Linked DNA regions of Rhinolophus ferrumequinum. The protein of the gene in region 2 interacts with the protein of the main gene of each other region in a biochemical or structural test. Links are inferred from orthologs where the notes say so. Each region holds a gene or a part of one and is shown on either strand. Other genes may lie near its edges. The genes, in order: FNBP4, KHDRBS1 and FGR.

What was found.
Region 1: the proteins of KHDRBS1 (region 2) and FNBP4 form a complex in vitro, tested with the Homo sapiens proteins (2 studies listed by BioGRID and IntAct, with this or other methods). The link is inferred for Rhinolophus ferrumequinum from reciprocal best matches to the Homo sapiens genes KHDRBS1 and FNBP4.
Region 3: of the proteins of KHDRBS1 (region 2) and FGR, one has a biochemical effect on the other in vitro, tested with the Homo sapiens proteins (2 studies listed by BioGRID, with this or other methods). The link is inferred for Rhinolophus ferrumequinum from reciprocal best matches to the Homo sapiens genes KHDRBS1 and FGR.

What each region holds. Positions count from the first base shown.
Region 1 is NC_046294.1:13,562,217-13,565,962, forward strand, and holds the start of FNBP4 (formin-binding protein 4), read left to right. Parts: upstream 1-1,498; 5' UTR 1,499-1,639; coding exon 1,640-1,862; intron 1,863-2,099; exon of another isoform or gene 2,100-2,167; intron 2,168-2,866; coding exon 2,867-2,959; intron 2,960-3,746.
Region 2 is NC_046292.1:21,978,465-21,982,210, reverse strand, and holds the start of KHDRBS1 (KH domain-containing, RNA-binding, signal transduction-associated protein 1), read right to left. Parts: upstream 2,381-3,746; 5' UTR 2,090-2,380; coding exon 1,708-2,089; intron 1-1,707. UniProt on the Homo sapiens protein: Recruited and tyrosine phosphorylated by several receptor systems, for example the T-cell, leptin and insulin receptors. Once phosphorylated, functions as an adapter protein in signal transduction cascades by binding to SH2 and SH3 domain-containing proteins.
Region 3 is NC_046292.1:18,958,685-18,962,430, reverse strand, and holds the start of FGR (tyrosine-protein kinase Fgr), read left to right. Parts: upstream 1-1,375; 5' UTR 1,376-1,551; intron 1,552-3,573; exon of another isoform or gene 3,574-3,650; intron 3,651-3,746. UniProt on the Homo sapiens protein: Non-receptor tyrosine-protein kinase that transmits signals from cell surface receptors devoid of kinase activity and contributes to the regulation of immune responses, including neutrophil, monocyte, macrophage and mast cell functions, cytoskeleton remodeling in response to extracellular stimuli, phagocytosis, cell adhesion and migration.

The DNA.
Region 1 (3,746 bases), on a different chromosome or scaffold from region 2:
CCTCTGTGCCCAATCAGCACTGATATATTGGGGCCATGGGCAGCAGACTGACAGCTGTCAAACCCAGAGGCCGCAAGAGACCAAAAGGCAGGAAAGTCAAAAGAGGAGGAGGGGAGCCTGGGCCTGTTCATAGAAGATGAGGATGAAAAAGTGATCCCAGGATATGCAAATAGTTTGTCGCGACAGATTCCACTATTATAGACAGGCTAGACAGACAGATTGGATAACAGAGAAGTCCAGAATCTCGGAGGCCGTACTAATCCTGAGACGGGAAATTGCCACGGGGAAAGTGGAGAGGTATGATTGTGGAACTGTGTACCTCATTGCACGGATATTTTCTTCATTTTGGTAGGGAAGCCTACAGCCAATCTACCCTGATCCATGACCAACTTATTCTGTCATGGGAGTCTTCAAGACCTTAAGTGCTCGGGCAATGGCAAAGATTTCCCATCTGAGTGGCCAGAAATGTCACCAGAGGCTAATGGGTATGTCCAAGAGAGAACTCAACCCAGAGCAGCGGTGACCAGATTCTTGACACTGCATAAGAAAGAATTCACAAGCAAAACAAATGCAGGAAAGCAAAAGCGATTTATTGAAAACAGAAATAAATCTTGAGAAGAAAGTGTGGACCAACTGAGAGAAGGTATCTCATGGAGGAAGTCATGATCAGAGATTTTTATTCCTCCCAGGGAAGGAACTGGTGACATCCCATTGACGTGATTCATTCATCTCAGCCCTCTGGGTGGGACCCTCCGTTTCCTTTTTCTTCCTTAAATGATTCCTCCGAGACCATCATGGTCTCAGATGCATGATGGGAGGCACAGTAACCGCAATGCAAATGACATTATAATGACATTAAAATTGGCTAAACGTCAGATCCCAAGGTCATAGGGATTAGCCTTACTGGATGAAACTGGTTGTTTTTCTCCAGCTGCAGGTGGTGGATAGTCACTTGTTACTTGTGTAACCAGTGAGGTCCTTCATGTTGTATCCTGGAGGGGGTTGTCAATTTCCTAGGCTACCTATCCTGCTGCACTTCTAGTGATTTTTTCCCCCAGCTGATGAGCAACATCATCTTTGTGCGCTAAAATAAACATTTATAAAAGCATAAAAGACCACTATTCTATTTAGTGTTCAATGCTATACCCAAAGTAAACCACAATAATCAGGGTGAAACTCGGGGAAAGGCCCTCAAATCAGCATAGCTTCCTAGAGGACAAACGAAGATGAACAGTAAGTCCAAAACAGACACAAGATGGAGGACAAGAGGGTGAAGAAAAGACTCCGCAAAAATGCCTGGGTGGAGCCCCACGTGATGGGCAAGTAATTCTAAACTCAGGCCCTTCCGCACTATTGGCTTGACGCTCACTCTTTTTCCTTTTCAATTGGCTAAAGATTCCTTCAATGGGTCAAAATAACCAATCGCTGAGCGCGGTGGATAAAGCCCGCCCTCCCTCTCTGGGGAGAGAAGCCAGAACATAAAGTGCTCAAGGCGCTTGCGCTGGCGCGCGCTCCGCGGTTAAAAGTGGATCCTCGCAGGAGGCGGGGTCACCGTACATGAATATTGATTACGCAGCGCCACGCCGAGCACCCTCCCCTCTCGGCTGTCCGACGCTAGCAGCTCGCGCTTGGGCTCGCGATGGGGAAGAAGTCCCGGGCGGTGCCCGGCCGCAGGCCTATCTTACAGCTCTCTCCACCGGGTCCCCGGAGCAGCACACCTGGCCGGGACCCGGAGCCGGAACCCGACACCGAGCCGGACTCGACGGCGGTGGCGCCCAGCCAGTCAGCCCCGCCGGCGCCGCCGCCGACGACGACCACCGCGGTGACTGCCGCCCCGGCCCCGGAAGATTCGCCTTCTGAAGGTAAGGGTGCGCGAGGGACCTCGGCCCCTAGGTGGGGCGTCCACAACTCGAGCTCGGGTCTTGTTGCGGCCTAGACCTCCCGGGCAAGGCCGGGGAGGAAGAGAATCCTGGCGGGCGGCGTCTGCATCCGAGGCCTGCTGCGTGGGGCCTGCGGGAAGGACGGCAGTGTGCCCCAACGTGGCGGAAGGGGCCGCGGAATCGCGCGCGCCAGTCCCAGAGGCGCCATCTCTGTTGCAGGGGTTGGCCCGGGCACCCAGAGTTTCGTCAACGTCCACGCTCGGTATTGGATAACTTACGGGGTAGATGTGAGTATGCGTTTCCGCGTTCGAGGCTTGATGTCTGGAACCTGATCTTTTCTGCACATCATCCGCTTTTCCCTTCGTTTTTGTTGATACTGAAAGAGACCCTTTAGAAGTGAGCAAACCCTTTTTACTATGCCAGCTAAAGTGTAAGTAAGCCCAAGTTGGCGGGTATCCCAAAAATTCCTGGAGAAGTAGAGCTTGTGGGTTCCCAAGTACTTGTGTGTTTCTCCTCGGAATGGTACTTGAATTAAGAGTAACTGGACAACGCTTCTATAAGCCAGACCCTGGAGTGGTTATTTTAGGTGTTAAAAAAAAAAATCACGTTGGTAGCTCATGCGGGGAAAAACATGCTATAGCTGTGCTTGTTGTAAAGGCCCTGTGGTAGCCTGGAGATGATGTGTTTGTGTATTTTTAAATTATTTCAGGTGTAATTTTTATAGGTAACGTTCAGGTTCTTAATGTTAAAGTCACTAGGTGGAGAAAAGAAAAGATAAAAAAAAGTAATTAGGTAGTTGGAAGATTCTAGCTCTACTTGTTTTTCATCTCCCACTTATTTGGGTCAGTGATGGATTATACACCCTGCTTTTAAATTGATGAAATTTAGAGTTGAAAGGTTAAATCAAAGATTATTTTGTCACCTATAGTGTTTTCTCTGGTCCATCATCTGACTGTAGTTTTCTTTTGTTCATTTTCTAAATCCAGATGAACAGGAAGTGGTGGTGGAGGTTCCCAGAGTTGTTCAGAATCCTCCAAAACCAGTCATGACTGCCAGACCCACAGCCGTTAAAGCAACAGGTATAGATTGTTTTTATTTTCTACATCTTTTCTACAGTATCTTTCATTAGCATCAAATTGGGTTTGTATATAGTGTTGTTGAATGCTTCGGTGTTGCTAATTTGTCTTTATCCCATAAAAATGAACATTTAAAATCTTTGTGAATTTGTTGTGAGTTAATATATATATACTACATACAGACACATATATATATCCTACATACACACGCACACACTTCAACCAATGTAAAATTTGTTGCATTTTATTTGGACCCAAAATACTTTGCACTACTTTTTCTTCTAATGCCATTTGGTAATGAATTTTCTGGCTCCCGCCACTAGATTTGTGTTCTTTAACACACTGCTTTGGTGGTACCTAGCAAATGTTTGTGGAGCTGAAAATTGCTTTTATTAAATACTTATTAAGCACTAAAGAGTATTTGCGACAGTGGTTTTGTAGGCAAACCTGCGTTTAAATTGCCACTCTGGCATTCATTCTGAGGCCTCAGGACCTCATCCACCTATACAATGGATCTTTCAGCCCTAAGTTAATTTGATGATTAAATCAAACAATGCGTATAAAGTTTTGACACATAGCAAATGCCAAAAGTGTTAGTTTTCTAATTTCTACCTATCTTGAAAAATTAAAATATGTTTTGATACTAAATATTCTATAATTGGTAGTAATTTTATTCTTTGCAGTTTGGACTGCTTTTTGTACTATGTGACACTGAAATAATAGATGCTTATTCCTCCTCACCGCCCCCTCCTTCCTGTTTGCCACTTAAAACAAAACAAAAGAATCCCAG
Region 2 (3,746 bases):
GTACCACAGATTTATCACTTGTGGTGACAAGTTATTATCTAATGATTATAGGTCGAAGGGAACTGTGCTAGTGCTTTTACACATCATTTAATCCTCACAACTCACCACTCCACTTTACAGTTGAGGTCACTGAGGTTCAGGAAGTTTCCCAAGTCAAGGGTCAGAATTTCAAGCCTAAGCCAAGACTTTAAAAGTCCTAAAGTTTGTTATTTTATCTCACAAATTTAACCTGGACTAATTAAAGACTTGAGGAAATAAAAATTAGACTACCAAGTCAACCTTTACTACTCGGACATTCCTAAATCTGCTTTCAAATTCAAGCACCTGGGGTTTGCTACATGTAAGACAATAGAAAAATATAAAGATAAAAAGCATTCCTTGCTCTCAAAAACCTTGCCAGAATACATGAACAGTAATGCTTCAAACAATCCATTACAGAACAGCAAAGCACTGAGTTCATAATGTAAACACTTTATCTAACTGTGCTTATTCTTGACCACTGAGTGCTTTATGCTTTTAAAGACCCCTTAGCAATGTTGGGAGATAGAGAACAAAGGGAGCGAAGTATTCTCATAAGGATCTGCCTGTTACATTAACCTTGTCAAAAAGTCCAGTTAGTCACTCATTCAGTGTTGAAGGCTGTGAATTTGTACTTATTAAAATTTAGGTATCATATAAGAACTACTTATTAAAACAACGTTTCAACTAGAAGTGAGGGCAAAACAGACGGCTTTAGGGAGAAATCAGAGCGACTAGGTGATTGGCTAGTGCAGAGCAGAAAAGGAGCAGCGACACAGAACAAAGACTATACTATTCCTAATCTATTTCACTACTGAAGCAAAAAGAAAAAAAAACACAAAGAAAAAGGCTTTCAGGTACAAGCATCGTGCAACTTCCTCAATTTTTGTCCATTTCGTTGGGGAATGTCATGCAAACCACCCGTTCCTCCCTCTTCCCAGTTTCACTGTCTCTAGGGTTATTTTTCCCCTTCTTGAATGATGGTGAACACAAGTTGTAAAATAAGAGGGTCCGTGCTTATTCTTGACCACTTCCAGCTCTGCAGCAATGATTATTTTAGGTGCAAGTCGGAAATACGATTCGGATAACCTCAAGCGTCGATTCCCACCGGTTGCTCCTACCTCGGAGCAACTTAAGCTCCAGTTACCGCTAAGTCTGACCCGGCCCTAGCAACCGCGGCGCGCTGGACAGGGCACTCCAGCCTCACCCCATCTCACCTCCGCCCGCCCTCCCACGGCCCCCCCTCGCTCAGGCTGTCTTCACCTCCTACACCCTCAGTTGAGGCGCCTACCGCCACCCGCAGACGAAAAAGCTTTCCCTTTCGGGGGCAGGGGGAGATAAAGGTTCATTTCTGGAAGAATCTGAGCACTCGGAGCGTGGGGCAGCTGCAAGAGGTGGGAGGGGGATCACAAAGGGGGCGGGAGCGCAGCACTATCCATCAACATCTTTGCACTCAGAGATCGCCAAGTGCCTTTCGGGCCTCCACTGCAGCCTAGACGTTCTCCCTCGCACCCAGGGCCGGGATGGGAATGTGCAATCCAGACTACCGAAGATGAGAATGAGGAAACGAGAAGGGGAGTTCATGACTGCTTTGGTCCCGAGGGGGCGGGAAGAGAGAAGAACAAAGCCGCTGCCACCCATGCTCCCGGGTGGCCGGGCGACCCAGAAGGACTCGGGAGGCCCGCTTACCTGCCGTCAGCAATTGCATGGCGTGAGTGAAGGACGGGTCGAGCGAGTCCTTCTCGGCCATGAGTTCGGGCAGGTACTTGTTCTCCGGCTCCATTTTAACGGAGGCAGTGGCTGAGGGGGGCAGCAGCGGGGTCGGAGCCGGACCGCCCACTGTCGTGTCGGGACCCGTGGCCGAGGGCGGCAGCAGCGGTGGCGGCTGCGTGGCGGGCGAGGCCCGGGCGGTCCCCCGGGATCCCCCTCCGCCTCCCCGGGACCGATGAGGCAGCGGCGGCTGCCGAGACGGCGCCTGACGTACTGAAGGGTGGGCACCCGAGGGGTCCATGGAGCCGCTGCGGCCCGAGGACCGGCTCATGCGCGCGGCGGGGTCGTCCCGGCGCTGCATTGGGGAGGATGTGCGATCGAAGGATCGAGGAAGCGACGCGGCAGCGGCAGAGGCCCGAGTGGCGGTTGGCGGGGGTAGGAGAGCAGGAGCGACGGCGACCGAAGCCGACCCGAGCGACCCAGCGAAAGAGCACCGGAAATGAGGCGTCGCGCGTGCGCAGCCAGTCTCCGGCACCGCCCTTGGGTCTCTCCGCGAAGAACAAAGTCCCCAATCGGGCCACGGCGCCTGCGCACCGGCGAGGAACCCGAAGATGTCGCCTCCCTGCTCCTCTTTTCCCTCGGAGCCCGCCAGGCCAAAGCCTTGTGCGCTTGCGCGGGTGGCGGCGGGCAGCATTCGTTTTCTCTACCACGTGACTGGGCGCTAGCGGGACACGTGTCTCCTCCCCCTTCGGGCCGAGTGCGCGGTGGGGGCGGGGGCTGTGGAATGTCTTTGTCTGCGCGCGGACCCGCGGAGTGTGGGGCGGGAGACCTGTTACTGGCGGGGCCACGCCCCCTCTAACGGCTCAGCAGTAGAGGGGGGTTGTGCTCAATGAGGTGGGAGGGGTTATTGAAGTAGGGGAATAAAAGGAGACCGGCGGGAGAGACGCGAGGTTGCGGGTGGCGTGGGTTAGAGGAGAAAATTGAGGCTGGCTGGGCCTGGGAAGAGAGGAGGAAGAGACAGGGCAGAGGGGAGGCTGGGGTGAAGAAGGAACGACTAAGGGAGAGTCTGACGCAGGGCTGAAGGGTGCAGATGAGAAAGGAAAGCTTGGAGGGAAAAATTGAGGAAGGACTCGGCAGTGGGAAGACTGAAGGCTGTTGGAGGACTTGAACTAAGATTCTTCCGCAAAAAGTGGGCTAGAGGCCAGGTCCATAATCCATGATGGTTGCATCATTAGGGTGGCTCCTTCTACTGATGTGAGTGGTAAGCCTCCTGCCTCTTTTTGGGCCCTTCACACTGGATTCTTCCAGACCTGTTCAAAGAGATCCTTACCACTGCTCTCAAGGCCAAGGTGTATAGTGGACAGTCTGCCAACGCATTCTCCTCATTCTGGTGCCTTCTTTAACCTTTCCTTCCTTTCACAGATATTTGCTTCTCCCTTTCTAAGCACTCCCATCCCTTTTCCTTCTGGATCAGTTTCCCAGAATAAGCCAACGCTTTTCAGGAGCATTTCTGGAAATTATCTTCTGGGTGCCTGGAAACTTTTGATTTTGGGATCTGAAACTTTGAAGCCTTCAACAAGAGAACATTAAGGCCTGGCAACCTTGTGAGTGGGGGAGAGAAACCACCCACAGAAATGAGAACAAAACACAAATATCTTCACAAATTATCACATATATAGATATATTTCTGGTGTCAGGTGCAGTACTTTGAGGTCACAAACGTAGTTTATATTCAAGTAGGAGGAAAAAAAGAATGTTTTAAATAATTGTAATGAAAAATTGTAATGTGACAAATGCCAAGAGATAAGTGAATATTAAGTACGATTGGAGTTCAAAGCACAAGATAGATTTTGGCCAGAGGAGAATGAGTTCCAGGCAAAGGGAAGCGTGAACAAATGAGCAGAGATGAGAATGTCAGAGACGCATTTAAGGAATGGGAGTAATCGAGTTGTGAACTGTGAAGAAATAGTGGGGGGAGACATCAAATGCATGGAGGAGGGAAAGGGGGCAAGGAGGAT
Region 3 (3,746 bases), about 3.0 Mb from region 2:
TGAACAACAGGGTTGCCGGTTCGATTCCCATATGGGCCAGTGAGCTGCGCCCTCCGTAACTAGATTGAAGGACAACTTGGAACTGATGGGCCTCCGTAACTAGATTGAAGGACAACTTGGAACTGATGGGCCCTGGAGAAACACCCTGTTCCCCAATATTGCCCCCTGTCCCCCCAAAAAGTTGTCTTTAAAACAAAAAACACATGGACCAATGGCCAGTCAATGAGTGCTTGATAGTGGAGAAGATGGTGCCCAGCAAGCATAAGGCCATCCTTCCCAAGTTCCTGCACCTTCACCTCCTTCCCTGTGTCTTCCTCCCCATTCCTTCTCTCATTTTCCTAAGGAGAAAGCCTTCTTACCTGCATTCCACCATAGTCTGCCACCCCACAATCACATTGGGATACACCTTGGTGCATGTACAAGTGCACACGCACACACAGGCATTCACAGACATCCCTATTTTCATACATGCAGAATGTGTCCCAGTTGATTGCAAAATTGCAGTCATCGTGTTCACTGACTACAATCGCATGCACGCGTGCGCGCACGCGCACACACACACACACACATCTGTGCTCACACACCCTCCCGGCCTCCCACCGTATCCCAACACACACACACACTTCTCCACCAAACAGCCCTGTTACACTCATTTCTTCTTCCCCTGACAGGAGGGACTTTCCTTGTCCTTAGTTTAAGGCTAAAAAAGTAACAGTGGCCAGAGGGGGGATTGAACCCCAGGTTGAGGGGGTTCAGGGATCCCTGCTAGTTGGAAAGGCTGGAACTGTGATAGAGGAAGACACTCAGTTTTTCTAAAACTTGGGTGTGGGGGGGGAGGCTGACACCCTCCCCCTCCCTTAGTTTGGGCTGATGGCTGATTGCTCTGAAAAGCAGTTTCCTAAGGATAGGGTCTCCTGCAGCTCCCACTGTCCGACATCTCTGTGTCCCCAGCACCCAGCAGCCCCTGAGGATGGCAAAGCATGGTGACTGGTGGCTCTGGTCACAGCAGTGTGAGGTCAACTGGCTGTGAAAATTTGCTAAGGCCTGTCCTCATCTGGTCCTCAGTTTTCCCACCTGCAAAATGGGGGCTTCAATGCTAGAGAAAAAACCCTCTTAACCTCAAATGCAATGATTCTAAAAGAGCTGGTGCTTCTGGGTGGGAGCAGGAACCTGTCCCCTTGGAAGAGGCCCTTAAGAAGTCTGTCCTGGGGGTTCAGGTCTGCGGGGAGGAGTTGGGTGGGAAAGCCGACCCCCGTAACCGAGGCGGAAAGTGGGGGCGGGCGGACCTGCCTGGGATTTGAGGGCCCCTCCCCGCTGCCGGCAGCTTGGGGCAGGGGCGTGACTGCGAGTTCTCCCCGCCGCCACCGCTGTTGCCGCTGCGGCTGCAATAAGAGAAGTCCGAGACGGCTTCCTCCTCCCTGCCCAGAGGGGGCGGCGGTCAGAGGCGGGCAGTACCCCAGTTTTCTCCCTCCACACGTCGGCACTTGTGGCTGCTGGGAGCCCAGCTGGCTCGCCCTGAGGTTCGTCAGAAGCCGCCTCCCCTGGCACCAGGTAGGCGGCCGTCAGGTGGGGCTGGAGGGGCAGCGCGGTGCCCCGCCCCTGGCCTGCCTGCGGCCCTGGAGGGAGGACTAGGTGGGGTAAGCCTGAATTTAGGGAGGGGGACTGAGGGAGTTGAGGGCCAAAGCGGCCCCACCCCGAAAAGAAGCTAAAGAGGAAAACGGGAGACCTGGAGAGTAAGAGTGATAAAATGTGGGGAGGAGGGTGAGGGAATATATGGAAAGCAGACTAAAGGGACCCCAAAAAAAGGTCTGGTGGGGAAGACGGAGGGAACCTCTTCAGTGAGATTGATAGAATTGGGGAAGGGGGCTGAATCGGGGGCGAGGGACTAAAGGGACCCCCAAAAGTGGCTGGGCGAGAAACTGAGGGAACCTTGAAATTGAGGGTTTGGGGAGAAGCTGAGGGGTCTGGAAGAGGGGAAGCAGGTGAGGGCACTGGGAGGATCAGGTGTGGGAGTTTGCTGGAAGGGGTCAAGGAGAGCCATCTGTGGAGGATGCAGAATGTAGGGCGCAATTCCGGGGTTCCATGAAGTCCTCCAATCTGGAATCGGCAAAAGTCGGGGGGGAAGCCTGTAGCCAGCCGGGGGGCGGGGCGGGTGGAGCGGAGGCGGCTACCTATCAGCCCCCTCCCCACCCCGCACTGGTCGGCGGACTGTACATAGAGAGGGGACTCCTTCAAGGCGCTAGAGGCGTGGGTCCCGGCTTCCTGGGGAAGTCCCCGCCTCAACAGGGATAGGCCTCTCTGGGTGCCCCTTCCCCGCCCGCAGTGGCGCTCTCGGTCCACGTTCCCCCTCGGGATCCGGGAATTGCTGGCTGCCCCGACGGAAATCCTGCCTTTGACCGTGATTGCCGGGAGGGGCTGTCACCATGGCAACAAGAGGGCGGAGAGGCAGAGCCTGGCACTTGGCTACTGTAGTGCACATTGCCCTCACAGTCCCCTTTGGTCCCCTCTCCGCCCCCATTTTGTGTCCTCAGTCGGAGGCGGGCTGCGGAACTGAGAAGTAAAGCGATGATGCTTGGTGTTCAGGGATCCTGGGGTGGGCGATCTGCAGATTCAAGAACTTGGGTAGACTTGGCCCTTGATTGCTGTGTGACTTTCGGCAAGTTATGGGGCTTCTCTGGGCCTCATTTTCCTCATTTGAATTATAGGGGGAAATGATCTCTGCCCCTATCCAACCGCTAGATCCCACCTCATCCCCAGTCATGAGAATCAGGTGCAGAAAGCATTTTTTGCCCAGTGTCCTGGAGGGGTTAAGAGTTATTTATCACTGACCCCAGGGAACCTCCCCTTCACCTTCTCAAAAACCAGAAAGCCTGACAGGGCCTCCAAGGACCAGCACACAGTTGACGTCTAATAAATAAATGTTTGTGATCTGTTAAGGGAATGTCAGCAGGTTTGAAATCTGTCCCCAACCCCCACGGTGCCACACCCTGTGATTCTGAGTCCTTTTGCCTCCTTCTGCTTTTGGTGGTGGTAGTGGGAGAGCAGAGCTCTGTTCCCACTTCACAGATGGGAAGATGGAGGTTTGGGAGTCAATGACTGACAGGGCCAACAGTAGGGATCCAGAGTCCTGGGCATTTTGTCCCTGATGTGGTGAAGGAAGTAGCCAGAACTGAGGCCTAAGTTCCCTCCTCATCCCTACCAAATCCAATGTAAACTTCTGGAGAGGGGAATGGGTGAAGGGCAATGGTACAAGAAGATATGGGATTCCTGGGTTTCAGGGCTGGCTCCTGCTCCTCAGTGGGTGTGAAGCTGTGAGTGAGGGTGTGGAAGTGTTTGTGAGGGAATGAGTGAATGAGCATGAGTGTCTGAGAATAGGTGTGGGTATTTCGGTGTTCTCTGCAGCCACCTCGGGCTGATGTGGAAAAGGAAGTGGCCAGACCTTGAGAAGCTGGGTAGCGAGGCCCCAGAGCCAGAGAAGGGAGAGTAAGGGCCCTTCCAGCAGGCCTAAGGGGGGACCCGGGGTGGGGGCTTCCTGCCTGGCCACACTGTGGAATCTAAACTCCTGTTCCTCAGCTCCTCCTGGACCACACATGTCTCCCAGCTCCCAAGAATCTCAAGTTTCTAAAGACTCCTGTTTTAGAGGCTGATGAGTATGTTTTCAGCAACAGATGAGAAACCACTTTTACCTACAAGAAGTGAAGAAAATTCAGCTGACACCCTCAGGACCATATAGAGGGTAAAGCTAG